Neodiprion lecontei: one gene and its partner. The protein of the gene in region 1 purifies or fractionates together with the protein of each later gene. This does not show direct contact. Links are inferred from orthologs where the notes say so. Each region holds a gene or a part of one and is shown on either strand. Other genes may lie near its edges.

Evidence for each region.
Region 2: the proteins of histone deacetylase complex subunit SAP18 (region 1) and serine/arginine-rich splicing factor 1A purify together in Homo sapiens (co-immunoprecipitation; 4 studies listed by BioGRID and IntAct, with this or other methods). This does not show direct contact. The link is inferred for Neodiprion lecontei from reciprocal best matches to the Homo sapiens genes SAP18 and SRSF1.

What each region holds. Positions count from the first base shown.
Region 1 is NC_060264.1:30,479,036-30,493,766, reverse strand, and holds histone deacetylase complex subunit SAP18, read left to right. Parts: upstream 1-8,345; 5' UTR 8,346-8,433; coding exon 8,434-8,505; intron 8,506-8,632; coding exon 8,633-8,739; intron 8,740-8,823; coding exon 8,824-9,018; intron 9,019-9,224; coding exon 9,225-9,318; 3' UTR 9,319-9,541; downstream 9,542-14,731. Other genes in the region: uncharacterized protein LOC107228101, read left to right, coding at 1-91, 481-654, 760-997, 1,611-1,904, 2,825-3,039; cytochrome c oxidase assembly factor 5, read right to left, coding at 7,124-7,165, 7,493-7,594, 7,860-7,964; UBX domain-containing protein 7, read right to left, coding at 10,119-10,277, 10,406-10,491, 10,582-10,630, 10,751-10,899, 10,978-11,035, 11,135-11,416, 11,571-11,845, 12,106-12,363 and 1 more; mitochondrial import inner membrane translocase subunit Tim29, read right to left, coding at 13,638-14,047, 14,357-14,458, 14,645-14,731. UniProt on the Homo sapiens protein: Component of the SIN3-repressing complex. Enhances the ability of SIN3-HDAC1-mediated transcriptional repression. When tethered to the promoter, it can direct the formation of a repressive complex to core histone proteins.
Region 2 is NC_060262.1:33,690,647-33,708,835, forward strand, and holds serine/arginine-rich splicing factor 1A, read right to left. Parts: upstream 16,600-18,189; 5' UTR 16,484-16,599; coding exon 16,314-16,483; intron 14,691-16,313; coding exon 14,297-14,690; intron 13,893-14,296; coding exon 13,701-13,892; 3' UTR 13,698-13,700; intron 12,684-13,697; 3' UTR 11,703-12,683; downstream 1-11,702. Other genes in the region: merlin, read right to left, coding at 1-86, 331-536, 1,303-1,432, 1,558-1,656; peroxisome assembly protein 12, read left to right, coding at 2,604-2,723, 2,802-2,910, 2,996-3,189, 3,310-3,678, 3,851-3,936, 4,067-4,178; phenoloxidase 1, read right to left, coding at 4,887-5,132, 5,458-5,690, 5,783-6,082, 6,209-6,530, 6,670-7,125, 7,315-7,725, 8,035-8,145. UniProt on the Homo sapiens protein: Plays a role in preventing exon skipping, ensuring the accuracy of splicing and regulating alternative splicing.

The DNA of each region.
Region 1 (14,731 bases):
TGGAGGAGGAGCTGGGAATGCGAAACGAAAACAGAACGGCAACCAGCAGCGAGATCCTTCGGAGCCACATACGCCCGCGGCCTCCAGGCAGGTTAGATGTGCAATCTTTTTTTTTTTTGGCATTTTTTTTTTTTTTTATAGACGAAGACACCACCTTTCACCGCTGAAGCACAAGCCTCGACACGCCTGTGTATACTTAACGAATACACTTGACAATAGAGTGACGATTGAAAGATGTAATAAAATGTTATTCTCAATGAGCACCCAGTTCTTACTCCCCTGTAGATGATGACCCGGGCCTGAAATCCAGCAGGCACCACGAACGCAAGAAACGCAGGGAAATCGCTTGGGAGCACGAGCTATTTTCGGACTTGTGTATAATGCAACCGCGGTCACTGATCGCGTCACAGCAATTATTTGTCGTTTTCGGACGTCGGATACAGCTGATGAGGTACTATATTCTCATTGTCGTTCATTCAGGTATCGTTTAGCGCTGGAAACACCGCAGGTGCTACCGGAACTTACACGCCGCTTGTGGTGTCCGCAAACAGTCAGCTAACCGCAGGGGAACCAAGGACCCTTGCGACCTTGGACAGGGACTGTTTCATCATTCCTTTAGCGTCTCTGGACCATTTTCTTCCTGCTGGTGTACCGGTGAGTCGCGATTACTGTTCACCAAGACATGCTGATCATGCTTCGAAAGACACGAATCCTGTTCCTCTGACTCACGGTTGAATTATAAAAAATCTGCCTTTCAAGCTAGCGCCGATTGTCGACCGGAAGAAGACCGGCAGCCCGTTGTCCGTCCTCGAAGTTGAAGATCCGAAACAGTGCATCCTCGCTCACCTCATGACGCCCCTCGAGCCCCTTGATCCTTTAATGGAATCCCCCCTCGCCTGCCCTCTCGTCCTGCAGCGGGACACTGCTGCAGAACTTCTAGCTGAACTCGCGCCAACGGCAGCCCAGAGTATACTTCTTGTTAATATGGAGAGAAACGGTACGTTCAGAGATTGTTAGATATACAAAAACGCTGGCCGTGGTCCTCAGACACCATATTCACAGTTACCAAAACACGGCGTAGAGTATTTCATTCAATGGGACTTGGTTTGCCCTTGACTCAAACGGTGCCAAAAGTAATTCTTTGATGATGTTGGCACTTAATTCTGCAAGATCTCTCACGTTTGAAACGTTGCAGAATTTTAACTATTCATCGTGTCCAGTGGTACTGGAAATGTCCTTGAATTTTGCTTGTCCTGCAAAAGTCCTGGAAACTATCAACTAAATTTTTCTTGTGTCCTGGAAATATTTTATTTTTAATGTTCTTGAATAATCTGAAAATATCGTAGAAATGTCCTGGAAACGTGCTTGAATTTGTTACCGATTTTTTACTTGACATCATGTTATTGTACCTACATATTTGACGCGAGGCTGTGCTGAGTCTTTCAATCCTAGCGCTCAGGAATAGACATAACACAGTCAGTCAGATCCATCGACTCCGTTTGTATAATTCTACTTTTCTTGGTACCCTGATACCGAAATAACACATTACACATCTTGATATTAAAAATGTTCACAAGGCTCTCGTTGAATCGTGATATTCATAATTCCAGCCGAGTTTCCCTTCATCTCGTACTACTTCATAAACAAACTTACGAGAAATCCGGGTGAATTTCATCACGAGGCTCAGTGCCGTGCTCTCCAGAAATTCGACCCCAGGGAGATCAAATACGCAGCCAGTCACACCTTGGATGTGTTCAACGAAGTCGCCACGATAGCTCGGCCTCCGCTTGAGCCACCTGGAGGCCGACCGCCGCTCGCTACGACTGGCTACATCATTTCTGTCTTCAAGGTTTTCGAAGGCGACGACGGCCTCAAGTTCGAACGCAATTGGCTTTATTGGACGGGTAAGAATAGTTGACAATAACAAGCAGCACGATCTATTATGTCAAGAATACCGAATTACTTAGTCCTGATGAGATTTCGTTAGAGATTTACAGTCCTTCTGCGTGACTGTGTTAGATGACTTTATGCAATGCATGCATGAGAAGTGCTACTTATCGTGCTTGCAGAGAGTGGTGTAAGTAGCGCTTTACATGCAGGGATAGAATACAGATACTGCGCATGTGCAAAATGGCTTAACTGTAATTCTCGCACTAGTGCTTTCTTCTCGTTCACTTCTCGCACCAGCGCTTTCCACTTCTCTAACTCGCTGCAGCAGCCCGAAGAAGCAGTACTTCCCATGCATTTGTTGCATAAACAGTTATGTGACACTTCGGCATGAAAGCCACCATATGTATGCCGTGTGACGTGAAGTGTGCAGGAATACACGAATATCACTGTACCATGTGCAGCAGCTGTATTACTCGTGCGGCCAACTTCACAGCATGCTCATAATGGTCGCTTTCTCGCACTTGTATCACAATATACTATTATACTCGGTGGTCACGGGTCAGGGAACCCTGGAGAACCTGGAAATTTCATGGAATTCTGAAATTCTGGAATAGTCAGTGAAATGTCAGGGCTATTTGCGGAAAGTCAGGCAATCATTTACTGTATTTTTTTCATACAAATGCATCCCACAATTTTTTTAAGTTTCATATAAATTAGATCGAATACAAATCCTTTTTACCACCAGCGGAAGTTTCTCTTTAATCTTTAAATATTCCTAAATATTAACTTCCAAACGATTGCACGCATCGGTTAGGCGGGACAGTGTGAAAAAGACAGGGAATTTTGTGATGAAGATTTAGTGGCTACACTGTTATATCACTACTACGAAATAATCACTACTACAAAATTGATGTTCTACCGAATTTTACCGCAGGAGCACGAATGATATACAGATATCTGCCAAAATCTGTCGGACTACGGCGCATCACGCTCCACAAATCGATGTCACCCGGTGACAAGATGTATCTTTTGATATGTGAATGCGCACAGCTACAAGACAACCTTTCTGCTGCTGCAATTTTGCTGCCTGCACTCCGCGCCCGTCTCTGTGGATACACGGGACTCTACAGGCCATCGGTGTGCTTCTGACTCTGTTTTGAGAAAATTTTTTTACGCCAATTTGAAGGCGACGAGTAGTTGCACCTCGCATGTATACTCGTCGTTTTTAACCTGCAAGTTTTTATCGATGTCAACTAATCAATTAACGCGGTATGTAGAAGCACTAAGGCTGTGAGATCAATATCTGTCAATTACCGATTTTATAGAGTTTCTTTTTAGGAAATTAACTAGTCAACGTGATTGATTTGATGGAAAACACGATTAATTAAAAGAACAGTTGAGCCTAACTGTTTGATCTATTTCAATTTTCGTGGTTTGGCAACTTTGATTCATTGACTAGTAAAGGGTTGGTCTATACAGGTGCACTTGTGAGGACGATTAGACAGATCATTTCATCAATCTCAAGCGTTTATCGATGTTAGAAATCGGTGGCTACGAAAATTGATTGACATCTCAAGAAGTTTATAGTATTTAAACGACATTCGTAACATATCGTAAAGAGATGAAGAGGATTATGTAAGGTTTCTGGAATCTTTCGGATTTTCAAGTTGAAAAGATGTGAAGAATTTCAGAGAACGGACAACTCGAGAAATCAAGCGTAACCTTTGTGAAACCTTGCAGCCTCGATAGATTTCGACCAACAGGAAATTTCATCGTAAAAACGTAACTGGTCAATTGTTGAAGTACGATGATAAAGATTTCTGTTACAAACGGTCATTTTTTGTTCTTACTGTGTATTAGTTATTAGATGTGTGAACAATGCATACAATCTGGCAAAATCTAGCAAATTTATCGCCGTACGAAATGAGCGACACACAGAAATACGATTATATGAATACGTAATATTAAATATGAGCGTTCAGTGTTATTAACGGACGAAAAAAATATTCTAATAGCCCGAAAATCCTATTAGTGTGCCAGTTTCCGTAATTATAACAACTGACATGAAAAAGCAATAAAACAGCGCCCCTTCTGGAACGGTAAGGGCACGTCAATACCGAGTGCAGGAATTTTTCCATTATTGACGATCTTTATGACCAATTATTAATCATATCTAATAGGCTATACAATATGCTTTTTCTATACGCGATGCGGTCTGTCATATATTGTAGAGGAAGACAATTTTTTAAACATTTTTTCTTAGTGCATAAACGAGTACTTACAATTCGCACGCATGCATAGACTATCTACAAAGTATGTAATATATTATAAAACACATAAAGAACAAATTTGAGCAAGACACAGACGATATTGCTTAGAGAGAATTGACGTAGGAAAGACTCGTCCTTGTGAGTATAGAATTTACGCCCTAATCATTGATTAGACAAAGAATAGACGAATTTATGTAGACTTAAACTTTACAGCAGTTAGTTTTCACTCCTTACGCCAGTCGGAATGCTCATATTTAGATTATTTAGCAATTGCTAACCATCATCAGTAGATAATTAAATTTATACGATGATAATAATGATCTTCAAAACGCAGGGCGTCCTGAAATCTATATCGTTAAATAATGGTAAATACATACAATAATATAAATATGCGCTACTATACGTAGAGTAAAGACATATCTTACGATTAATAAGGCTGTGATATTTAAAGAGCGTATTACGTTTGTTGTTTTTTTCGTTATTGCGAATTTGATTCGTACGATAGCTTTAGAAGTATTTTGGATGCCTTTGCAGTTTGAATAATCTATCTAACGAAAAATTATTATATCAATGCATGACTCGCCTTCTAAAAACCGCAAGCCTCGATACGGGACAATAACTATTATCCCATTATAATAATTATAGTAATATACTTAGATAAAATTACGTTCAACTTTACCCGAGACGGTCTCTCTATCGAAATAATACTTCGTTACATAGTCGTCGGATGTGTTACTACATACATGTATGTACATACATATCGACGATAGTATACATTGCAGACATATAGGCTTTAATGACAAAATTTTAACGATCACTCGTATTCTTATTACATATTATATCATGATGAAATTACACGATAGAAAATTAATAATGATCAGCAATTATACTGATTAGCTTCAATACTCGCAATTTCATAGGGAAATTAGGAGGACTAGGAAAAAACGTACGTTTCAGTTTCAATCACGATTGTACTAGATTGTGTTTAAATCTGTAAGATACCAGATCCTAGTTGATCAGTAGCCTTGTGATATATTTCCATAAAACTCGATCAAACCTATTCGAATTTAGCAGGTATAAATTTTGAATCAAACTAGAAAATCTAAGCTTAATAATACGTAGCTAAGCAAATAACCGTTTAATCGAAGTGGTGAAGCGATACCAGAGATTGCTGAATGGTTGTAGGTTGAAAAAATAACAGCAACAAAATATTAATACATATCTGATCGGTGTTCCTGCAAGTTCGTTATTTATTTATATTTTTTCCCCGTTTGTGCATGCTGGGAAAGGCAAATTCTTCGTCATACGTAACCAAATTCTTGTACTACGCACAATGATAATGACGTCGGTTTTTTATACTCAAATTTAATTTTATTGCCCTGGGAAAAAAAAAACTTACGTTTACGATATACGTAACATGTATAATGCATACAAGTGTATAAAGATAATATCGCGATTAAGGAAGATATAATAAATACATCATAAGCGAACCAACAGACCTTTTTCGACTCGTTTATAAAACGAATATATGCATAGGTATGAATATATAATATCGTATGTGCAATTTTTCATATATTTTTATCGAAGGCTAATTTCAATCGTTGTACAGGTACAACACGTTGTAATAAGAAGCTAATAAGAGAAATCGAAATGTTTTGTGATGCAACATACACATAATACCTGTTCATCTAATCAACGCTCAACAAATCGAAATACAAATAAAATAAAGAATACCGTCGCTCAATTGGCGAATCGGCGAACAGTTTTAATCATGATAATATTAATCTTATACCTACGGATTATGATCGAATAATAACGGTGTTTCCGTTACGCTTACCCCAGGTCTAATGATTACATTTTTTCTGTTATCACATTCTTCTCTACCTGTAATATCTTACTTATTACGTACGAAAATATCGCGCCATGCTCACCAAGAAATCCAAGTAAACGAAGTACTTGTTTTTTAGTCGTTCCCGAATCCTTGACCAACTCATTTTCGAAGCTTTATAAATTCGACAATATTTTTCTGCATTCGTCTTATATGCCCACAACGAAGTGATCAGAGAACGTAACATAAATCGTTGGGATAAAATTGAAAAACAATAATAATAGTAATACGTTAGCGTTTTTGTCTCACGTTCTACGATAAACATACGAAAAATGTATTACCTACCTATTTAGAAGTATATATTACTGATTATACTATATGCTACAATGGAGATGTAGTATACGACATGAAAGATACATAAACTTGAATCGGATTTGAATTTGAAGTAGAACAATATCGGAAAAACCGGAAGCCCAAAATGAAAATTATAACGTCAGTATTTCTCCGCTGAGCGGTAACACAAATCTAATACATATTATATCGATATATTTTCAATTGATGCATGTACTGCGATAGTAATATTAACAATAGTAATACGTAATTGTATAATAACAACAATAATAATAATAATAAAGTTTGGCTACATATTTTCCTCGACTTGATTTCAGTTTTGATTAATCATACGTTTATTGCGTTATGACATTGTTGTGTAGATGATCTCAACTTTATGTACAATTTTCATTGAACATAATCAATACCATCATTGATTATCGTACATTTGGATAATAGATAATAATAAATACTTATATAATTTGGTACATGACATTAGTAAATGTGCAGATATATATACTCTATGTATGCGTACTTACATGGTATAATACTTCTATCTATTGTTCGCGTAACAGCAATTCAAAGCTGATATAGGACACAGTGAAACTCGTACTTTTTTATGTGTCACAAAAATGAATTAATACACTAGTTTCACAGCAATGATATATTGTAGAAGTTTCTAGAGTTGTCATAAACAGAGGATTAATATTTCAAAGTCGACAGAATACATATTTGGAAAAATACAGGCTTTGCTGTAATCGGAAAAAATTTAAATAATCACAAGAATTGCCTGCTGTTGAAGATGCTAGTATCCCTTTGGTCCGCGGAATCGACGTCTACCGTCTAGCTGCATACAAAGGTATTTCGCGTACATTAATTTTTTAGAAGGAAAAGGATGAAGGTATCTAGCAAAAATAGTACAGACATAGCGACGCTATATGTTTTTCAAAAAGGGATCTCACCACCCTGAATATATCACATGAATTTTTATTTCTTGCAATAATACGTCCAGTTGATGAAAAATGTTAAATTAGAATTTAAAAAAAATAAAAGTGGATTCACAAGCTTTGAAATTATCCCTAGTCACCACCCTCGTAAAAAAAACATGGAATAAACACGAATGGGGGCTTCCCTTTAAGTGAGATTGTATCGTTAAGAATTAGAAACTACTCACAAGCGAGCGTTTACATTCGAAGAAAGTTACTCTCAGTGCCTGACATTTGTCAGGGACAGTTCCATCAGTTGTTCTTAGGCATTCCCTGGGGGTGCGTTTATGCTGAACAAATGAAACTTGCGCAATTAATCAAACTACACAGAGGTATCATCTGAAATTCAAAGAGACCTCGGAAGTATAAAAGAATCATTTGTTCGAAAATCAATAACCAAATAAACAAATAAATATATAAGTAAGTAATGAAAAGAAAATTGTAATGGTCCAAAAAATTTCATCATATATCACTGACGAATGTTACACCGATTTCAGAGAAAATTGGGATGAACACATAACGATAACCTCGAAATCAGGCCAACAACTCACGTACAATTTTACAGCAGTCGCTTTCGAGAAGGCACATTTTCAGGTCTGCTCGGGCTCCGGCGCATCTTGACTTGTCGGCCAACGTTTCATTTTCATTCTCGTATTGCATTGTTTCTATAGTTATCGTTTAGTTCAAATTGAAAATCAAAATAATTGTAGTGTCTGTCGTAAACGCTTCATTGCCGAGTTGAAATGTGCCAAGTGCAAACTAGTGCTGATAATTATTGCAGGGTACTACTTGACCGACTACAGGCTAGCGTTGAATATTTCTCTCAATCTTAGAGCATATACCACTCGAGGAAGCTACAGTTTCCATCAAACTCGGGAAATATGCGGCCGCAGTGATGAGAGAGAAAAATATATCCGTGTTACTCCCTCTCTCGCATTCTGCAATTTGATTGGCCAGGAGGAATCACGTGTCGGCCAATCAGGAATAGAGCGAGGAAACCAGAGTAGAACCTACATAACCCTCCTCTCTCCGTCATTTCTCTGCTCGACTTTCCTCACGCGTGAAGTCACCAAGTAGTGTATGCTCTAAGCGCCCAATACATTTACGGCTAAATTTGATTACCTTAAAAATGGCGTCTGCAGTGGAATCCATGATTGTTGACGAAAAACAAATTTCTGATAAGCCGGTTGACAGAGAAAAGGTATCGTAGTAATATTTTGCTTATCATTGGTGTTTCTATATCCCAGATGAATAACTGGAATGTGTAACCAATCTGTAAAATCTCATGCATCTTAACCTCACTTTCTCACACTCATGCCGCTATTTAGACCTGCCCGCTACTTTTGAGAGTATTTTGTAACATCGGACGACATCACAACATCGTCGAATACAGTAGAGGAAATGTGCCGTCAAATGAGCTGCAAATTTACACTTGGTATGTAGTTGAAAGAAAATTATCTTTCCTCACGTCGAACCAAGACGTGAACAGTGATTGCATGTGTTCATGTCTTGTTTTCAGGATGGATGCCACGCTACGTGAGATAACTGCGCTCGTGAAAGAGGTGAATCCTGACGCGCGTAAAAAAGGAACCTATTTCGATTTTTCTCTGGTTACTCCTGAAGTTCGTAATTCTAGTTATCGAATGCGAGAAATTGGGGTAACTTGTTCTGGTCAAAGAGGAGCAGATGATAATAAAACTCTCGCACAGGCTAGGTACTCGGTCCACATTATTAATATTCACAATATTAATCTTCACTAACACTATTGAAATATACCGAACTTTATTGTTTTCAGGCTCTTTCACTAGAGTTACAAAAAACAATTTGATTTACTTAATTTCGTTTGTTGAGTCACTGAATATCACTACTCGCCAGAACATATTACTATTTGTCACTTATTTGGGCAACTTTTTTCCTCAGGTTCACGATCGGCGATTATTTGGACATATCTATTACCCCTCCGAATAGAATGTCACAGCCGATGATGCGACGTGGAGGCTTACGGCAGTATTGACTTTGTTGTATTTCAATTTTGTACGATTTCAAATTAGTGTTCGAATCATTTTCACTAGGCTTAATTAGATATAATATATATTCGTCAATTATACTTTTTACGTACGTTACGACGTGACATACTAATTGAGCCTATGACATAGTATTTGTTCGTGAAACATTTCACTGTTATTTTGTATAATTCGGGAACAAAATGAATTACAAATACGAATTTTTGCAAATTATACAGTTGTTTTCGATTTATATGCTCATTACTGATAAAGTACAAGTGTTCAGTTTTACCAATTTTCGGCTTTGCATTTTCTTAAGTAATATATAAATGGTTCACTTTAGTACTTATAAAAATTTACCAATTGAAATCGCATACGAATAAGGATTGAAAGTAAAAGTTGGACTAACGCCAAATTAAATGTAGATCCAATGGAATAAAATTCGATTGGTTGTTTTTATTTGGATTGGTTTCAGACATGATTAAAACAATTAGTAGATCTGCAATTATTGAGAATCAGTTAACTTTGTTCAGCCTTGATCATGAAATTATTTACACGAGGCGATTCTTCTTTTGGTATATTGAACATTGCTAAAAGTTAATCAAGAACGGTTAAAAGTGTCTAGAACTTTTCAGTTATATGTATAAACTGAATAAAGAGTAACGAAAAATTTAAAAGCGCAAGTATTACAGATACGAGACGAATTTTTTTCCTTTTTTCTTTTCAATAAATACAAACGACCGCTGGCAAGGGAGTATCATTTGCGATTTTTTTCCCCTCAAATCTTGAATTACCACATTACGGGATCAAATTATATTTTTGTTATAAAAACGGTATTTGAAGGAAACAGAATAGTTTCTGACAGTCGAGTTTGTTGAGAAAGAGCCCCAATATTTGTCCTAGGAAATGGAACTAGGTACGTGTGCTCCGAAGGCGGATAACCCATAGTTTCCATTCTGCCCAGGAAGCTCTGTGGAAAAAAAAAAAGCAGTAGAAATGTCATGATATAAGAACTTCGCGATGGATCGTATTTTGAGTTTTTCCACTGTATTCTAATGATAAAAAATCAAAACGAGGTTATACTCTTTGAAGACTTACTTTTATCGTGTCGCTAGCTCCCATAGAGATAGTTTCTTTGCCCCCATTTGGCAGTCGCAGACATAAACGCAAGGACGGCTCGTCATCTGTTGAACGATCATAACAAATAGTCGAAGACTCAATAATTTGTGGATCAAATTATGCAAGAGGTGAAAAATCAAGTTATTTATACTTACTTGAATTTACAACGGTTGAGTTGGGCTCAGAATTACTCGGTTCACCGTTCTGCAATCATATATTTCAAATTTTAGAGGTAAGAAATCAAAGGGACAAGATAGGAAAAAGTAAAAAGAGGTTCAGAGAGAATGTGGGGGTAAGCTGATTTGCAACTAGTGTTAGACGTACCTTTTTCTGTAATAAAGAATGTAGAATTTCGTGCTTTTTCGTCTTTGATAATTCCTCCGTTCGCGACCGTTTTCCTAAGATACTAACGCCACTACGAGGAAGGATTACGTTACTCGCGCTGGGCCCAGCATCGACACGTTCATTGTTAGCTGGAAGATTGCAATATGGCTTATTATGATGGGACAACAGAGTATTTCATTGATGCCTTGGTGTAGTTAATTTGTTACCTGATTCCACGGCCGTGTCTCGAATTCCTCTGGCTTTTTTGCTTTCTGGGGTCATACCCTAAGATCAAAAATTAAAATTTACGAAAATTATCAATTTCTTTCTTGCCTTTCGCAGCATAAAGAAAACATGATCACCAAAGTATTTCATCATACGAACACTTGCCGAAGATTCGGAAGGCACATCGCACCGCCGGACCATGGAACCTGCAGGGCATGATAGCCAGTCGTCTGTAGCGGTAGAAGGAACCTGCGGTGCAGTTTCCGGGGATAGATGATTGCTCAACATGTCACCTAGCCCTGAAACTAGATGTTCTACCGTAAACCGGTCGTATGTCCGGACACACTCGCCTGTTCTTGGGTCCAGAACAGCTAGATAAGGGTAATCAGTGACATTGTAGAAGTCGATGAAGCGTTGACCGTCAGATGTGTTAGATATGACCTGAGGATATGGCAAACGCTAGTTACACATGAGTAGAAAATTAAAGGCCGTTACTGGATCTACATATATATAATATTTCTTTTTCTCTGTTACCGATGGAAGGTCAAGTATGAGTTAAATTTCCTAATAATAAGTATGCGATCGATATAATTACCTGCCACAGAACGAAATGGTCCCTGACCATATCCCTGATCTGCTCATTGGGCCACAGGTCTCTGTTAAGTATTTGGCATGAGAATTCAAGTGGATTTTGTACATTAACAAGAAGCCATCGGTTTATGAGCTTCGCATGTTCCCTAGCCTCGATGAATGATCCCAAAAACATGATGTCGTAAGGGGGTCTGAAGAGGTCTTCCAGGCGCTTGGACTTCCTTGGTGACATTTTTTTCACCCCTGTTACCCTCCGCGCCATTTCCTCCTCCTGGCGTTCTGGCATCAGTTAATTCATTCAATTTAAACATCGCATATTAGCTTGAAACTCACTTGAATCCATGTAACTCAAAAGGAAACTCTAAAAATTGATGTTTCACGCCGATTCTCAGCATCAAGATGATATTTGCATCGCGTATTACAAACATATCTTGCATAAACTTTTTGGTAATTAAAAAGTACGATGAAATAAGGTAAGCCGACGCCGATTTATAAGGATAAAAAGCCGTCCCGGTTATCGAGAGCCTCTTGTTCCTTACGTGTTTCTACCGCAAAGTCCCTAAATCTATCAAACACACTGTTCGATGCTCTGGGGAACGCACAGACGGGCTGTGTTGGTACCAACACTTCTCGAGTAGGTAGAATTGGCGGCCTGATCTCTGGTTCTGGGGGTTCAGTTTGACCGTCTACGTCTGCTACTGCCTCTGCTCCGCCACCTTCAAACATCAGGCTAATAGCAGTCTCTACATTGCCGTCAGCCACCACGAGGTACTGTCTGGCGACAGCCTCGCTGGATCCTGGAATTTGGAAAAAATGTTCTCATGAAAGAGAGGGAAGAAAATAATTTGAAACCAAATTAGGTTAGGTTAACACAAAAAGGGCAGTATTGGATAAAGTTAGGTTAGATGAATGAATCAAAGTGAGGAAAACTTGGGAAACTCAAGATTAGGTCAGATGAGATCAAGGTCAGCTAGGGTGAATTGAAATAAAACCCATGGTAAATGTGTTATGCTGGTAAGGCTAGTAAAATGGGTAGAATATTACTGTAATACAATTCTTTGGAAATAAACATTTCAATGTGAAGTAAAACAGAGAAACGGACTCCTGCATTCTTTGTTTACCGATTCAACTGTTCGTACAGTCACATTGAAGCATTGAATTTGTGTTAACGGCAAAATATAGAACTGAGTATAATGAAATTGATATTTCAATTATTACTGTTCGCTTTTGGGCTAACCTGTGACTTCGATGAATTTTTCAATCAGTTCGCGATCCATCCTGTTACAACATCAAGCTCTAGTTTTGGATTCTATATCTGTTATTCGCCGATTGTTGTATGAGAAAACAAAATCGTCTTCGTGTTTGTTTGAAATTTCGGTGGTACAAGAACGCTTCCCTTGAATATTAAATCCGGTATCGTTTCACGGTCGCGGATCGATGCGATTTCGAATCCAGATTTTGAATTCTTGAACTTTTACCGAATTTTATAACAGCCACGGATCACTGCGGCTGTCAACCGGCATTAGCTATTTTGTCTTCAGCTTTCCTCTCCTCTCTCTATCTCCCGCTGCGCAACCGTTGCCACAATCGATCATGGACCATGAATATTCTCATAAGAAGGTAACTCTGTTGGGATTTTTTACACCGTTCATGAAATTAGATGAGACTTTTGACGAGAGTTGGACAATTCATTGAAAATATCTTGAAATAACGTTTTCATTTCAACTACCTTCACGCGAGTTTTTGATTAGATCTAACAGAATAGGCCAATAATAGTAAATTATTTACAACTTTATCAGAAATTAATGAATTCGAAGCATTCGAATCTTTTTCAAGCGCAGTATTCCGCCACGTTCTTTTTCCATCATCTTGTAATATAATTCTCTAATAAATTCCAGCTTTCGATCCCAAAGTATCAATAGTGCATATATAAGTTTAAAAAAATTTACCATACTTGTGTGTGAAGGCACATTTATTCAATGAATAAACCTTCTATATGTACATATGTATAAATACTATTATAATAATTAATATTTGTAATTTTATCCGTCAATAATATTCGATATTCTCATTATGAGCCGATTTTATCTGGCGAAGTGGAGAAGTTTTTAAATTCCTCTTCATTTATATCAAAATCAGTCATTTTGTCCTCCAGTAGCCACCACTTATCCATGAAACCAATGTCAACTATTCTGTGATGAAATCCTAAATACTGTGGTTTGAGATACGAACATGTTGCTTTGTAGTGAGCACATTCTTTATCGTAGTTATCCAACCATATAAAAGAAACAATCCCCAAGCTCAACCTGCGTATGATCCCTTCATTGAAGCACTGTTCTATCGATTTCAAATGCCTTACACTTTGACGATTCCGAATTGGTTCTCCAACCATCATCATCTTGTTTGATTCTTCTATCAACATGTTTCTGTACGAATCTGGACTAGGGTTGTGTCGTGAAAAGTAGTATACACTGCCTAGAACTGAAACATAAACCAATTCACACGAAAATTTCATACCGAATACAGAACATTTACTGGCTCCTCTGACTCTAAATAAATATATTTTTCTTTTGTATTTTTGGTTTGATTCACTGCAATAATTAGTGTTATCTGCACTAATGATGAGCAGCTATAGTGGGCTTAAACATGTATTTTTATGAGCTGCGAATCCTTTACAAAGAAGTATAGTGATACATCTAAGATCATAAAGATAAAGAAAAAAAAACTAAGTTGTCTCTCATTCCAGCAGGTTTCACTGCGGGAAATTAAGAAATATGATTTTTCACTTACGAGAGAAATAGATTGAAGCACGAATAGGCCGATCCTTACATCCTTGTGCAACATCCTTAGCCACATCTCTGTAGTCAATGAAGAGATTCTTCCAATATTTTGCTACAATGAAAATAAAACAGGTGACAATTATCGAATGATTATCGAACAAGTTCGCATACTCTAAGCTAACACCCGATCTCCCTATATTCTGTGAATTGCTTCGTCAAATTTATATAAATATAATATAACCTGTAAATACCTAACCTAACTTAACCTCGAACAAAAATTAACATGACCTGTTCTTACCCCAACGATCTAGTAGCCGTTCCTTCACTTGCTCCGTCACTTCAGGATCCTTAGCTTTGCTTATCTCAGCTGAATTTGTACTATAGG
Region 2 (18,189 bases), on another chromosome or scaffold:
TGATATTGGTCAATCACTCGTTGTGGCAGAAGATCTTCGCTAGCCAGCATTCCTGGCCGGTATGATACCTCGTCGTAATCACCATACTAGGTTTAATATAATAACACCCACAGGTATTCATTATCAATATAGTGATGATACATTTTGACATCTCCTCGACAGATTTTACTCAATATTTTTACACTCTGGACTTCTTCAGCAGTTTTAAAGGTGCTTTGTAAGCGAGGCAATCTCAAAGTGAGAAAACCTGATATACGAACCAGATAGTAATAAACTGTGAACAACACGTTACTAAAAATCACACTAGTTAACAATAAAAATTTCGATTACCTTCGCTTGCACGGCATACGACGCAAGTAGTACAGAGGCTTCAGGTGGACAGTAAATATCCATAGACAAAATGGCTTGCTTCACTTGCAAAAAGAACAAGTGTTGCGTTACCTCTTGAACAAGTTCCTCAGCCACATCTTCAGGGTAGAATTTTGCGAGAAACATAAACGGCGTCGTTGGTTGTTGTGAAATTCCTTGGTCCTGGACTAGAAATTTATACATAGATGAAGTGCCAAGTTTTTAACTTGTGTTAATTGAAGGATAGAAAGCACAGAAACATTACCTACTTGCACATCCACCATACCTATTTTTTTTTCGTTAATCTTTTTTTTATCACGTGACATAATATTGATTAGCATGAGTGATCGATTGTTTTGTATTTGTACTAAAATTCAAATGCATAGATATTTGACCGCAGTCAGAAGAACTAAGCAAAACGCTTAAATCCCATAGTAACTGCATGGACTAAAAATTATTGACAGTTCTATGGAGAAAGGCTCCTACCAGTGGTTTCATCGAAAATATGTTAACTACACCTGCTCTGGAAGTTTGGTGCAATGCCAGAACATATTTTGTGCTCTTGGTTTTGACACAGGTGTAAGAAGAATATAACTATTGAGCCTTTTCTCGAAAATTCGTAAACGCACCCAAATTCTAATAGCTTTAATATAAGTTTAGATCAATCAAGGAATTGAGCACTGAGCTTTGCTTAAATTACAAAATAACAAGATTACAAATCTTCCTAAAATCACTGTTATCATCTTATATTATCTCTTGGGATCTAATAACAGAATTTGCAGTGCATAGTCTCTTGTGTTAGGTATAATAAACCTGCTAGGCAGGAAATTGAAAAAAAAATAAGACTTCACTTTCTTTCAATAGCAGGAAGTAGGTGTGTAGGCAGTTCTTTTGGTAGCGTTGAATAAAATTGCGAATTAAAAGGATAAATAGAGGAAAGAATGAGGGAGATACCTTTCTTGTCCAACTTGAGCCAAGAAATAAATCCTTTGGCATCCTCATACTGAAGTCCAAAATACCAGGTCTCTCTGAGACCAATAGTTCGGCACACTAAATCAAATAAGTCTCTCCCAGTGGCTCGCCACTAAGAAAGGGAGAATTTTACAATGAAAAACATTCGAATGACATGGAGGATAGGAATCATTACGTAACACATTGTTCGTATAATTTGGGAACAATGTTTTGCAACAATAGATTCCAGAAGCTAACCTCCAAATTGAACTCAAGCTCGGCGTCCAAAGTGCAGACTTTCACCGGAAACGATTTCCCCGATTTTTTCCTACGAAACGGTGGCATTTTATCCTTCATTTTATTTATTTGACATCACGATTATTACATTTTTTTTCTTCACCATATCACTTATTTATTTATAAGGAATATACGTCGACCCACTCGCAAGAGAAAACATTATGTATTTTTTTCTCCGTCTTCTCTCACTCACTTTGACACGAGAGTAGCTACATCTGACACAGGCAATTGGAACCACCCACGAACGACCATTCTCTCACACTGACCTTAGCTGTCGGCTGCTATCGGTTGTTACGTATACAAATTTCCCTCGAATTAATCTCAGAGGTCAGATATTCACTTCAGTAACACAAAATTGTACCCAAAAGCCTTGCTACTACCTCTAGAAATTGGCCCAATTTTTTAAGTATATATTTTCCGGAAATGCAACAATCTTCGCCAAAGTATGAGAAGTTATTAAATTCGAGGTTAACAAATGCAAATATGTTTTAAAACAGATTTTCTCCGTAGTCCGCTTATATACCGAATCGGTATTTATCTGCATTAAAAATCGAATCTTATCCAATTTAATTCCATTGCTATTTTAGCCAAAAGTTTCGTAAATAAGCATAATAAATTTGCAGAAAATTCATAATCACAAAGCGGTTGACAGCTCGCGTTTTGATGGATTTAATTGACGCGTCTCTGTAAATTCATTCTAACCAAAATTGATCCGTAACCTGTGACAAATATTAAAGTTTTCGATGGTCAAGTTGGAACAATTCAAATACATACTGGAACTAAGAGATGATTTTGAACATTGATAAAAAGCCGCGTATTTCAATGATTTCAGGTACAAAATTCAACATGGTGGTCAAGTGAACGGAGTTGTTAACCTTGAACTCTTTGAACTCTATCAGGTCAAAAATCAACATAACATAGCCAATTGCTTTCATGTATATTTTATGAATGAAAATAGTAGCGTCATTACGGAGCGTGTTATGGTTTATTATTAGACAACAATAGTTATGGCTGAAAAAGGAGCGTATTTAACGGATACAGTCAAGGCTAAACCCTCGATTTTTGAAATTGTTGCGCAAGAATCTTTAGCCTCTACACTCGAGCCAGTCTTCAAAAAAATCATCTCGGTACGTCGCAGGCTCGTTTTTTTCATTATTATTATCCTGTAATTTGTTACATAGTGAATCTTATACACAGTATTTCAGTATTTGGTGTTGGTCAATCCACATCGATATGGATGGCTTGAAAGATGGTGCGATGAGGCGTATCTGGTTTTTAATGCCGCTCTACAATATCACTATCTCAAAAAATATTGTAAATATATTGAGCAATTTTTTTTACGTTTCTAACTAATTTCTCCAAATATTCGTCAGCCTAATCAAATCCATATTTATTTCAGCGGCATCATTCTCCGAAACATTTTATGGGTTGAAACGTTCTTCAGTCGTGGCAGGTTCAGATGGAAAGTTATCTACTAAGCAAGAGAAAATTTCTTTATTGCTGTTAGTCGTCTTTCCGCACTTCAGAACCAAATTATTTAGGCTTGCGGAAGAATATAAATTGGAAGTTGCTGATGGTAAAATACCTCAGAAGGTACGTGAATTCGAAAAGCTATTTATATAATTTATAAGCTTTGAATATGCTTTTTGTTGTCATCAACAGTACAAACACTTTAATTTGTTCCACATTATTTAAATAACTAATTTTTTTCAGCGATGGCAGAAACTTGTAAGGAAATTGGTAATAAATGGAAACATGATATTTCATGTTATTTATGAATGCCTAATACTCTATCGGTACCTGAGGTACATGGCTGGACGGTCAGAATATTCAACTCCGCTTCTTTGGCTGGCTTCTGTTACATTGTCTTACGCAGATGGTAAAAAATTCCTCACCATCACTGACCTTCTCATGAAGATAAGACTCGGAACATTGACCTTCAGTAATGGCATAGATTTGTTTGGAATGCTTTTTACTAGATCACTTGAATTTGGAGCTTTCTTTCTCCAGTTTCTTCGATGGTGGAATCAAGAAAATTATTACGTAAACCTGATGGCTCTGCCTACACCTGTGCCTCCTGAGGTAAATGAAAGGTATACTTACATTTGTCTTCAACAAAATACGGGGAGTTCATATTCCCTCTCCTGATGTTTTTAACAATGTATGCATCATGTTCCGAAAAATCCGGATTTTTTGTTTGCTGCACTTAAGCTAGACATGGATGAATGTCATTCCATTTTAATTTTCAATCCAGGTTCCAAAAATAGCGTTACAGTATAAAGGATTATGTCCAATCTGTCGGAAAGGTCGGCAAATCCCCACAGCTCTGCCAGTTTCAGGGTAAGTTTGGCATGTTTTAATTCCATTTTATCATGTAGTTTCACATAGCGGAAGTATCGATATGTTTTACAAAGCATCCTTACCAAGCAAACAAAATTTCTACCAAAAATAAATATTACTCTCTACGTAGGTACGTCTTCTGCTACCAGTGTATTCTAAAGTACATACGAGAATACGAGAAATGCCCGATCACAAACTATCCAGCCAAAGAGGATGACTTGATACGGTTATATGTAGAGTAGACAGTTTCAGAATAACGTTTCAACTACATACACTCACGATACCAAATGTGAAGATGCACACAAAATAGAAATAAGTCTGAAGCTTCACTGAAAAGTAATTATGATATTACTTGAAGAATAATTGCTGCCTTCCTGTTTAGTAAAATAGTATAACAATCCGTGTGGATTGGGAATAATTGTGATTCTTATCTTTTTTATACTGATGGATACATGTGACAGCATCAAATACCGAGTACTTGTATAGATATGTAAGGTTTAGGTTTTTCAACTGTTATACGTTCCATGTGAAGATACATCAATTTATTCTTATTTTCCTACCATAAAAACACACAAGTGTATAAAGAAGTGTAGTGTAAGAAACTTTTTTTATTTCTGAATAATAATTGATTGAGATATGTAAGTATAGAACTTTGCGAAGAATGGAATTCATAAGCGTGGATAAAATATGGATGTCAGCAATAGAGACAAATATTGACTGACCTTATTTAACTACGTGTACATACATGTAAACTTCTGCTAAGGTAGCATGATTTCTTGTATTAAATATACTGTGATTATGTGATATTCGATTAAACATAGTTTCTTACATAAAATTCAGTCATAACAAATGAAATGAAATATGTTGATGAACAATTATTCATGCTATGGTTTCTTCATATAACATCAACAGTTGTATTTCTGAGATAGATTTACACACTTCTAAAAGAGCTAAATCCTTGTTGTAGATGGAGTTGCAGTAGATTGATTTGGCCGACGTAAGATGGAATTTGTATGACGTATTAGCACGTTCGTAGTTCTCATATTTGGTGTCAAAAATTGGGATAAAGTATCAACACCATTACGTGGTAGACGATCAAATGGATACCCCATTGCTCGAGCATCTGGATACTTCTTGTTTCGTATTCCGCAGAAACTAGCAGCGTCACTGCATTGTCCACCTATGTCTTGTTCGATCTAACAATAAATGAAACTTTTTATTAGCAATATCGCAATGTATATATTTAAAATCAAAATATCCAGATATTTCTTCAAGCAAACATTTCCTGATACATCACAATAGACAAAATGTAAGTCCACTTGTTTAAATTGAATCTGTTCGTTACAGCTGGTTGAATTATTTCTGGCTCAAAATAGATTCATGCTACAATGCGTTTTAATCTTATTGAATGATAGACAATTAAGCCTCATTAGTATTTTTCTCAAATCCATTGATAATTTTTGTGTATTTCTAAGAAATTGCTGTTTTCTTCTTTAAATAACTTTAACCAGGTGAAAATACCTTGTCATTGTCGTAGTTGGAGATCATAACAAAAAGTTCTGTCGCATAGCCACTTTCAGTTCCTTTTGGAAGAAGCATGTGCTGAGGCCAACCACAACCACAGAAGTTAAAAGCATCAAGCTCATTAATATCAGTTGGAACATTGACAGTCAAATTTCTAAAAGTTCTTTCAAATGGAATTGTTACAGATGATAATGTCGAGTTACGCTCAATGGTGTTGGCTCCAGGTCTTACTAAAAATTTGTGAATTATGCATAAATTTTAAAGGAATGCGCTACGGTGCCATGTTTACTGGTATTAAAATTTTTAGTAATAAGTTATTTACAGTTCACGGTGAATTTGTCCAGTTCAATCATCATATTTTTTTGATCTGTGAAAGCCATAGGTCTACCAAGCTCATCTTGTTTTGGTGTCAGAAATATTCTACAGGTTCCCATTTTATTTGCTCCACTTTTGTTATTTACCTGAATTCTGTAAATATATGGAGTATACTGTAAATGTGTGAACCTTACGAGAACAGAACCTCTGGGTATGAAATCCAAGCCTCGTGACATATCAACGTCACTCTGCTGCCAGAAAGTATGAAATACGTTCTTCGGCTGATTCTCTGTCACCACTTCCACACCTGTGATTCACAGAATAAAACTGTTCGTTAGTTGCTGCTTATCACTTCTGTAGTTTTTATGCAAAGAGCACCCACGCATACTCTTTAAATTGGCTCAGTAGTTTTTTAAAAATTACTGCTACAAACCTGTAACATCAACTCCTGGGTTATTCAATTGTTCCACTGTATATGGAGGGAGCGTCCCTTTATACAGTTGAAAAATAGATTCTACCCAACCATGTAGACGATAAAACACAGGATCTCTCATAGTGACAGCTGGATCCCCAATAGGAGAAAAGGATTCCAAATATCTGTGATCCGGATCATGTATGAATGATAGTGCTATGTGCATATAGTTGTGCAAATCACCGTAATAATTAAAATTTGGAGAAAGAATACAAGCTTCCATGAGGTTTCCCAATACATCTATGCCATCCTTTTCTGTCAGTGGTATAGTTTGACCTCTCTCCTATAGTTAAAATTACCTTTAAAAATGTCTGCATGATCATACATAATGTGAATGAGGACACAGTTTTCAGATTGTGAATCAGTCTTCAATGTATTACCGTGTTGTGGCTAGTTGAAGACAGAGAAAAATAGTCTCTTACATTTATTACAGATTGAGTTGAAATTGCCTGTGCAATACGATCTCTCCATCTTTCCAGGTCTTGTATGTCAAATTGAAGTTGATCAATTGTACGATTAATGTCCTTAAGCTCTGAATTAGCTGGACGAGCTGGCCAAGCACGACTGGCTACAAGCGAATCCAGTTTGGGAAAATAAGCTTCGGCAATTGGTTCGCGCCACCTGTTCCAACGCTCCACTCGTGGAAGATCATTGCAAAATCGTTCAACGTTATATCTAGCCATAATCTGTGAATGCATGTAATACAAAAGTTCGCCACGTCTATCTTTGTTAACTATTTGCATTGGCCCGGAAGGTGGATAGACTAAGTGCCAATGCCAGTGGTGTAGATTGATACCCAAATCTTCACGAAAATATGCAAGTCTGTGCTCCACATCCAAATCAGATGCAGTGTAGTTTCGAGGAATTTCGATTGGCATCTAAAAGGCATTTAATGTTAGAACTTCGATACACGTTTGGTACTAACATACATATGGATTGGATTATTTCAGAAAATATTGCAGAAAAATCACAATGAAGCAATAATTATTAAATAATTACATACTGAGTAATTGAGTCGCATTTGTCTGTACTATTACTTAAATAACTACATCAAAATTTTTGCTTACCCTTGAGCCAGGTGCAACAAGGTTTGCTTCTTCTCGTACTTGTGCAAAAACTCCGCTTGTTACAAACTTGTCTGGAAAGACTTCGCACAAGGTAGGTATTGGCAGATCTCTGGTATCTGGTCGATGCAGAATAGCAACGGACAAACAGTAAATATACATTTGGGGATTGATTCGATCGTGACAAAAAACAGATGCAGATAGAAAATCATCATAAGTTGCCATTCCCAGTAGAATCTCAATTAGATGTCCAGCCATTTTGCGGTGGCTTGGCATGAAAAGAGAAAAATTCTCTGCGCGACCCAGATTGGTTGCTATGCCGAGTGATGGTACGCTTATTTTCTTGACAGGAATTCTAGGGACATCATCACCAACCCGTGATAAAACCGATGGAACAGATTGATATCTTTCCACCTGTAATGAATGGTTATAAAGTTCGGTAATTGATAATCCGTTGAACGGATCATACTATGTAAAATATAGGTTATCAAAATTAGAGACAGTATAAATTGATTGTATCAAGTATGGTATCAATCATGAATCAATCATCTATTCACATGACAATTAACTCATTGTTAAATTATTTAGATTCAAATTTTTCTCCATTTTATTCGAAATCCAGATATGTGGTTTGGCAATTTTATCACTTCAACCTCATAGGTGATGTAATTCACTTGAAAACGAATTATGAATATTTGGTCTTTCGCCCTGAATAATACTTACTAAATAACTTGGTGGAACGTCAAATGTGGTTGATTTATTGCCACGTGAGACAAATATTGGTTCCGATGGACGATCATAGAGATACAGTATGTCTGTCAAACTTCGCGACATGTTGGAAAACTGTCTAGCGTATAAGATGGCACAAGACTAACTACTGCAGGAATCCTTGCAGATATCTTATATAGTGAAAGAAAGGGGTGAGTAAGAGACCACATCCTCATCGTTAGCAAACATTGAATATTATGTATGCTTAACTCGTGTTTGAATCTAATTATGTACGATAAAAACAACTTTTGTGGTTCTTTATGCCGGATGTCCACTGATGGCTTGCGCCTTTCCCGCTTCCAAGATTAAAAGTGGTAAACAGATTGATAAATAAAACCACTGTTTCTTTTCGAAGCAAACTAAGTACTAGAGTTGTTACACACTTATAATTTAAAAATATATTACACTATGATTTGGTTGATTACTGCACATGGATTAAACAAGATGTAGAATGTTTGGATGATCCTTTGCTGTGAAATCACCATACTCCATCATATTGTATTTTACTGCGATAATATCTATATCTTCTTGAATAATCAGAAGATAGTAAAGTCTTCTGTGTTTAGAAAATAACACTACAAATCTTGCTTTGACTTATAGTACTAAAATATAAAATATTGTGCAATTCTTAACATAAATTATCAATTTTCTAGGTCTTTCAGATCAGTAATAATCATGATTAAGTTGCGAATGAAAGTATATGGAAAGTATGAACGAGTATAAGTATCTTGGATAGGATAAATTATTTGGTTGAATAAACGACGTTTTTAATCGGCATATATAAATTTTATTGTGGTCAAATCCTAGGATGTACATTACCAGCAGAATGTTTCAAGTAAACAAATATGGAATGATCACTATTCGTGATATATTTCTACATCTTGAAAAAGAAGTGAGTTTACAAAACGAACCTATTGTATTAAGCTCTCTCAAAGTGCTTGCTGTAGAGAAATCAGAACATGCACGAAAGAAATGAGTGATTATGGGATTGGTGGCAATATGAGTGGGTACAATTTTTTAAAAACTAAAATCGCCTAATGTTTTACTTTACCACCAATGACATATTAAACTTAGCTTGAACAAACTGCAAAGGTGGTAATAAAACGAATTAACTATATAATTAGTCTACTCAACCAAAGATAGTAACCAGCCAACGAAAAGAACATCTAAACAGCCTCAGGTTTTGTTACTGCTCGTAGTCAGTATAACTCACATAAAAACCCTTGTTTGATAATAATTTTCAAATAAATTGAAATTCTCTGTAAGTCTGATGAAGAGTATATATTTATTTCAGAGATTGACGAACTTAAATTCCCCGTTATGTACTTACTACTATGAAGATTTTTTCAGCATTTTAATTCATTTTTAGTTTATGGCCAAGACAATCAATATTGAAGAAATATCGTTATATCAGTTTTATCATAAAAATAGTCAGTTTTACATTATTGATCATTCTGACTTAAAAAACAGCTACTTTTTAATATACGATATGTTCAATCCATTTTGAATACCTCGTTACCTGAGGATGTATAGATTTGACTTCGAAACAATAAACTATGTGGATGTTTTCTGCAAATGTATGAGGTGTCGAATTATTTCTAAGACATGGATGTTTCGTCTTTGATGTTGAAAATAAGTTTGTTTAGAACAATCTTCACATCAAATCAATGGATTATATCGTCACAAAGCCACTAGCGATACTTAATTGTGTATATATGTGTATATACACGCAGTTAGAGAAACTCATCCAGTGAGTAGAGTTCCTGCTAAGTACTGGACGTGTGTTAGTTAATGGATAGATCAACTTGAATGCATTCAGCCAATGAATGGAAAGATAATTAGGAGGTGTTCAAAGAAGACGACAGAAGGGAATAAAGCAAGGCATGCAAAAAGCGAACATGGAAAGTACCTCAGTTTCAAAACTGGTGTACAAGTACCTTATAAATAGCCATCCAATCCTTTTGACTCCATTAAAAATGATTTCCAACTATTCTGTAATGATCCTGAACCTTTCCTCCTAAGCGACTGCAAGTCCGAATCCAACCTAGAGCATTCCATGAACCCTATGCGGTGAGGCGCGTTCCTCATTCATGTCTCATGTAATTGAAACTGATCGAAATATGAATCCTTCTGCCAAATATCCTGTCCCATCCACTTGACAAGTCCAAATGGTATGTATTATATTATCCATTGAATTTATCCAGATCGCAGAATCCTCCATGCGTAATAATCAATCCCGCGAGGCTTCTGAATCCCAATAAATTCCAGTCCTGTCCATCTCCCTGTTCCTTTCGCAGCAGATATATTTTCGCGGTATCCAAATCCACAAAAAACTATAGTCCGTTCACGTCAAAAGAAGAAAGTCTCAATTAAGTGAAATCCTCTTCTTTCCGTTTTGCATTTCTTTTAAATATAAATGATGCGAATATTAAACACTGGTATTTATATGTTTTAATAAGTTCGAAGTATATCGTTAAAAGTGTGATTTAAACATTTTTAGTTTAACCAAAGTATAGCATTGTTGAAGTCAAACAAAAACCGATAAAATTGGCATTAATAGAACTGTTCTTGTTGAAGCTTCTCTGTTTATGATATCAGATTCCTGAGATAGAAAAACAACTTTGAAGCAAAATAATATTCCAATGATGTTAAAGTTCAAAATATAATTATATACAACTATCCATGTATTTTTTGAGATGATTGCATAGTTAATGTATAGACCTTTAGATTGATTCTAACACATTCGAGACCAGGAGTGTAGTTGGCTATAACTTGTTTAACATAGTATGCAGAATGTTTCATAATCAATCCAAGGGTTTAAACAACATTTTGTTAGCACTAACTATTTTTCTCTAAATTTGAGCAATCGTACTAATAGTAATCATACTAATATCAATTACTAATGCAAAGTATTACTATATATCAGAGAGAAATGCAAAAAGATGATCATAATAATGTAAGAATGGTGTGGTACTTTATTTTAATTGATGCCTGGATATAAAACTCCTGGGTATAAGCTACAGAAAAAAAATGTGATTTATTGAAGAACTTTGATTGGTAGTGAAAGATGTTTCAATATTGACACATGGATATTTACCACTCACAAATTTTTCAGCTTGAAACAAAAAAAAAAAAAATAATAAAACTTAAATGAAATGAATATGCATATGAATTTTTAAAGAACAAATCATCTCAACTTGATACATTAAAACATGGTATATGTTCTTGATGTTTTAGCCACGTTTAAAAATATTATTAAATTTCTACACTGAAGTGTTTGTGGATGGACGTGAACAGACTGTAATTTAGGAAGAAAAAAGGAAGAAACACGAAAAAAACCACGTCAATTTCACGGAGTTTTCAATGGACTTGCCAATGTGTATCAGCTTGAATCCAATCCCAGCTAATCGATAATCCTCGAATCGAATATATCCTTGCTTGAGGATCGCGTTCCTGAATTTCCTCTTGTCCAAATTTATCCTTAATCCTGATTATCCTCACTGCGACTTATCTTTAATCCGCTTAAATTTATGCTCCATACAAATCCATCCAAAATGCATTCCATCCCATCCCATCGTCAAGTATGAACGAAGCATTATATCCATCCAAGAAGTAACATCGTGTAGTTTCTCAGTTTTTCATTCATTGTGTTACAATCCAATCCAATATACAAAAGAAGAAAAAATACATTAGTTTCTTGATACAATAATAGATAATCGATATCAGATTCGAAACTTTAAACCCCAAACGCGTATTCTGCAATCCCTAAGCGATTGTAACGACAACAGGAATGAATCTTTGTATTTCTTTCGAATTATGAACACATATTAACTCTGTAATAGAATTAAATATATTTTAAAATACAATGAAAATACGTTATAGGCTATTCCTCTGTTGCAATCGAAGGAATCGCTTCAAGATTCAGATAACATATAATTGGTGTGAAATCGTTTTGCGACGAGTTGTGTAAGGAACATTGCTGAATTTGAGCATGCAACTCTGACCTATGACTCGTATATACAATTGATAATATTCTCAAAGGAATGGATATTTTACTTAAACATTTATAATATGTAATACATGTAAATATATTCAGATGTTCCCATTGGTAAAAATATTTATAATATTCAGAGCCTCTTTGCATTATCGACTCAGAGCGAAAGCTTATAAATATGTGTGCAGTTAGAAAATCTTTTCACATTTACATCTTTTAAGCACAGGATTGAGTTATCCATCAAAGACTTATAGAAATGGATTGGTGGTTTTAATAATGCAGGAGAATACGTTTTACTTTCTGCATAAGCTTTAAAATGACTATACTTTGTGGTTTGCCACGTATATGCTTTGAAAAAGTGTTTTTCACAATCCATTTTCATAAGTGTTAAGACTTATGAATACTGAAACTTGTCTGTTGCAGATAGTTTTCTCATTAAAAGTTATAAACGTATTAAACATAAGGTGGGAGATGACGCGGTGTACAGCATGTTATGAGTAAAAAGATGCAGTGGGGTTGTCAGCGCAATGTCTCGCAATGCTCATGATCACCAAATCATTGTTCTCATATTTGGCTACCATGAGGTCTCATCTGACAAAGATCTGTTATCCTGCAATAATAATTATGGCTTAAAACAATTTTTATGGGCAAAAAATAAAACATTAAATCACGCGTTGATCCGTATTTGTAGATGATAATGATATATCACGTCATATTTGTTGTGAATTGCGAATTTTACGCCAGCTCCGGATCTACAATCCTATCCCTGATCTAGCTGATAATGATAATTAATCGGGATTGCAAACATTATTCCTTTACATGGGCATAGTAAAGAATATGCACATGTGCGCATTTTAATATTATGGTACCAAGAAATGGAACGAAGACTTTATGTAATATTCCAAGAAATTGCAGATTGATTTGATAAAACAATAGTGGTACAGAATTATTCGACATATCGAATATTACTCACGATGTATATTCAAAAATTTCGGCAATCACTATAGGTTTCGGTGACGATTCATATCTTGTATCAAAGCACTATTATGTTTAAAAAAATGTGGCCGTTAAAGATGTTTTCCTTGAACTTTTGTAATTGTCTAGTTCAATTGGTACAAATTTATTTGAGTAAACCGAACACTGTTAACTTTACAGACATTATGCATGAAAAGCTATTTCAATATCAGAACATCAACCACAATTGACAATTAATAAAACTGATTAGGTTTAACTTGTAGAAAAAAAGTGATGCAATTCACAACAAGTATAATGATAGTATTCAATTCCTTTCAATTTTTCGATGCCAAAAACTTGTCAAGATTTCCCTCTGAAGTGATCAAGAAAGGGATGAAAAATTATTAGGAAAAAGAATCATGTTTATCAAAGACTGTGAAAAATCTTATGTTACACTGCACCTGTGATCGTATGTATTACACAGGTAACAACATACTTGTCAATTATGCAACGACAACCTGAATACAGTTTGTAAAATACAATTTACAATTCATTCAGCCAAGATAAATGTCTTTAGTGAGTCAAAGCAGTGAAAACGAAATTCGGCAAGGCATGAGTGGTTGAAAAATCACTCATATTATCACTGAGGTTATATAGTATTGATACGTACACACTAATCGTATGAGCGAGACCTGGAGCGTGAGCGTGACCGCGAGTAGTTGCGACGCAATGGCGAATAGGTAGGAGAACCACGACGACGTGGACTGTAACTCCTCGAACGAGTACGTCCTCTCTCTCGATCTTCACTGCGGCCGCGATCTCCACTGCTGTGGTCTTCTTTGACACGAATGTATGCAACTTCACCCTGAGAATTGGGATAAAAAGTTAACGTGACAGTCACAAGAAATAAGACATTTACGATCATTGTTTAAATAATAATATATTTGAAAAATGCTGAAGTAGTGAGAAACTGTTGTGGCTAAGGCATGTATTAATATTGAGGCAAACAAAATTTATTGTAATTGTCATGAAATAAGGTGCAATCCTTCAAAAAATTTTAGGCCAATTCAATTACTGCAATATTTTTACCTGCAGTACATTAAAAATTAACTTAAATCGATAAGCTAGAATTTTCAGTTTTAGAAAATTACATTTTTTCAATGTCTAGTTTGTCATTTACAGAAGAGAAAATATGTCTGTGATATGGAAAAAGATAGTTCAGTTAATTGCACTCCACTAAATAATTACAAATAAACATAGAAGTTGTACCTCATGCGATCTGAACCTGGAGTCATCTAATTTTTTGACCGCATACTTCATGTCTTCGTAACGTAGAAACTCAACGACACCAGTCCCATCTTTGTAGACATCTGCAAAGCAAACGTCACCTGCTTCGCGCATGTGGTCTTTGAGATCCTGCCAGCTTCCCGAGGATGGCAACCCCGTAACCAATACTCTATACTGAGATCGACGAGCCGGAGGACCACGGCCTCTAGAATTGCTCATTTCACCTCTGCCACCTCTACCGCCACTATCACCACCTCCTGCACCACGTCCCCCGCGAAAGTTGTTACTTGGTCCCCCACCCCTGGGAAATTCTACTCTCAACCTATAGCCATCATAGTCATAACCATCTCTAGCATGTACTGCATCTTCGGCATCCCTGTAATTTCAATATAAACATCTTTACTTATTTGTTTATTTTTATTCATTTGATCAAAATGTTTCAGGTGAAGTTTACTGAAGCTGTGTAACTTAAAATTAGTTCACATCATATATGAAATTGGTTTGCAACATGAAACTATCATTCTACAATATGAACTGAATATCTTCGAAAAGATTAGTCAACTATTGGAGATACTTTGAGCCTACAAAAGACACTGTCAAGAAGTCAGATTGTTAGAAATTCCTAATCGCCAAACTCTGCAAAATTTGTAGTAACTTTGAAAAAAACTTTTGCCTAGCTATTTATGCTGTCCAACTGAATGAAATTGAAGACTGATTTACATGACAGCTAGTAAGGTTTACTGTTAAAAAATCTACAATCTTTTTTTAAAAAAATCATGTTTTACTACTCCTCATCAACTATGCAAATCTTGATTCCGAGTAGAACCTGTTTTGTATCATAAAATATATCTGAAACAGTCTTGAGTTTCGATAAACTGCAAGTCGGAGAACCAAAACCTGCAGTTTTTTGATTTTTCTTGTTTTTTTTTTTTTTTTATTTTATTTATTCATTTTTTATTTTTTTGTCGAGTTTTTATAATGTTTGATCTGTTCAGTAAAATTCCTTGATATTTCCCAATTATGCTGTCTTGTAAAAACTATAGGATGCGCAAAGTTAATAATTCAGTAACCTTGCAAAACTTGTATTTTTTAGGTCAGTGTGGCTTGTTGCACTATAAAGTAACCAGACGCACATCCAGAATTTTTGGCTGAGAGGTTAGCAGACTACGTATTTGGAGTGATATGTAATTCACTTTATAGATGGAATAGACCCTGAGTTTTTACATACAGAATAACAACTATAACAGCAGCATGGTTGGTAGCCACAAACTGGCAGCGAAATCATAACCCAGTGTGTGTTGGGGTTTCGGATGACAACGCAATACAATAATTTATCAAGCCCGTAGCAAAAGTATGATGAAGGTCGAACTTCTTTCAAAAAATAAGACACAGAAAGTTCTATGGCCCAAAGTCTCAAACCCAAGCTTGCCAGTTCACTGCTCCAGAGCCTTAGCCACTGCGCCACCTGCTCGCTCAAGGATGGAATATACCCGAAAGTATTTTGCTATAAAGCCGTGAAATTTCTCGACTGCCAATCTTGCCGTCATTTACATCCACTGACTGCCAGTGCCTAGATACTGTGGGCTTTAATTGATGTAAAGTTTGAATACAGTCATATGTAATTTCCATTCAAATGTGCGCTCGGTGTAACAAGTTTCACAGTGACTTCTGCAAGCTATGCAATATGCATGAACTCTCATCCGCTAAAACGATTAAGCACAATTTAACTTTAAAGTATCGCCGTGTATTTGTGCATAAATGCGGATACGTGTTAATAGACGTAATTCGCTCATGAATTCAAATGGTTGGTAAATTTGTGGTTGCTATCAAAAATAGATCACGCAATGTAAGTACAAGGTTACGTTGCATAGGCCTAGAGATGAGCATGATTATTAGCGACAAGGGCGGAATAGAGCGCGCTGAGCATAATATGCGATAAACAAGTATGCCCAACACCCGTATGTTAACCTAACAGGTAGAAACGCAAAAAAATACGTACCTTGGGTCGTCGAACTCAACGAAGGCGAATGGCGGCCCCCTACGATTTTTCAAGTCAACAAAGGTAACTTTACCAAATTTGTAGAAAAGATCCTGAATGTCTTTGGTACGAATATCTGGTGGTAAATTTCCCACGTAAATCCTACACTCGTTCCTACCACCGTGAGACATCTTGATTAAACGGAATAACTAACAGAGTCTAGTTAATCATCAAATGCAACAGTGACGATATTTGCGCCTTAATTGTTCACGGCCGCTGCTTCACTCTTAGTGGAACAAACAAGATGGCGTGGCCCGGTCACAGTTCGGAAGCGGATACTTTAATTGATTTGACTAGTCTTTTTGAATTGGTTTAATTAAAACTGAGAAGAGAAAGATTCTTGTGAATAACAAAAAATTAATCATTATTCATGGGTTGAAGATTTTTCAACTTATTTTCAATGCTACAAACCCGAGAGGGAGCTTTGATTTCAGTTACAGATGTTGATTTGACGGTGACCAATTGTTGCAAGTACGATGTTTTTGTAGTTTTCATTTCACTCCGTACATATATATTCAGGAGAAAAAAATCAATCACTTATGCTTTGATAAACGGAAAAAGGACATATAAATAAAAGCAAGCTGGTGATTGTCAAAGATACGCACGTTACCGTGACGGTTTATTTATATCCGATCCTGAAATTTGTGAAGTCACTATTGAGTCTTAAAAAAATTTTCGTTTTTCCAGAAATTACAGTAGGTAAGTTTAGATATTTGATTACACATGTTACCGTACGAATCCCTCGTTAACGTATCCCATCCCATTTTCTTTTCATGAACTCTAATATTTTACCGTCAATATACTAAATTTCACAATAATCGCTAGGCTTGGAGGCGTATGTTGCATTATGTTTTCATTACGTACAATATTAATTGGAACAAGCCAAAATTCCCTGCTGCTGGTGTATATTCGACTTAAAATGGTGAATAAAGAAAAAATAAGTCCGCAAAACTAACAATTTGAACAATAACAAGAAATGATGTGATATTTCTCGCTGCGGGTGTAATAATGTTTGAATAACGTTTGAATGCGTCATCGGTATCCCTTCTTGCGCGGGCTGTACGACGCAAGGCATGCCGGGTTGATAGAGGACCCTGATAGAAGACCCTACACCTCGACCAATCAGGGTCGAGATACGTTGAGGTACAATCTTCAACCCGTGAAGGGATTTTTGGTGTTTGGCTCGAGCGCGGAAAAATCGCGGAGTAAATTCGGTTTGCCGCGGTAAACTGTGTGAAACGTAATCGAAAGAGCCTCAAGTGTTTGCCAGAATATAAACTAGCTGAGTGTAGCTTTTTAAAAGGTATGTTAACAGCTACTTTACGAAATATTTCGGTTTCAAACGGTCGGGGGGGCAATGATCTTACTGTCAAGTTTGGCTTTCGTTGGCGGTCTCTATATCACCCATTACGTATTCGCGAATATTAAACATGACATATATTCGTTACCAATTACAATTCTATCACTCGTTATTCTCGATCGCGTGCCGATCCTGCGACATATTTTCTTATCGATAAAACAATACCCGTCCCGCGCTTCTCCTCGCGCTTCGCCGTCGCTCCCGCCCGCTTATATTAACCGAGCCTCTTCTGCTGCTGGCGATCTGGCATCTGGTATTGACATGCCGGTATTTGACGTTCACGCCACTGTCAAAATCGCGCGTGTTCTACCTCCGAGGTTCATTTAAAATTAATTCGTATATTAGGTGCGAAACCTCACAAATTACACCTTACTCTCCAAAATTCGTTGTTTTCGTTTCCATAATCTCATCTTCTTTCGTTTGTGCGATTTAGTATATTTCATCTGAGTGCATAGCCCTAAATTTATACTCTGAATC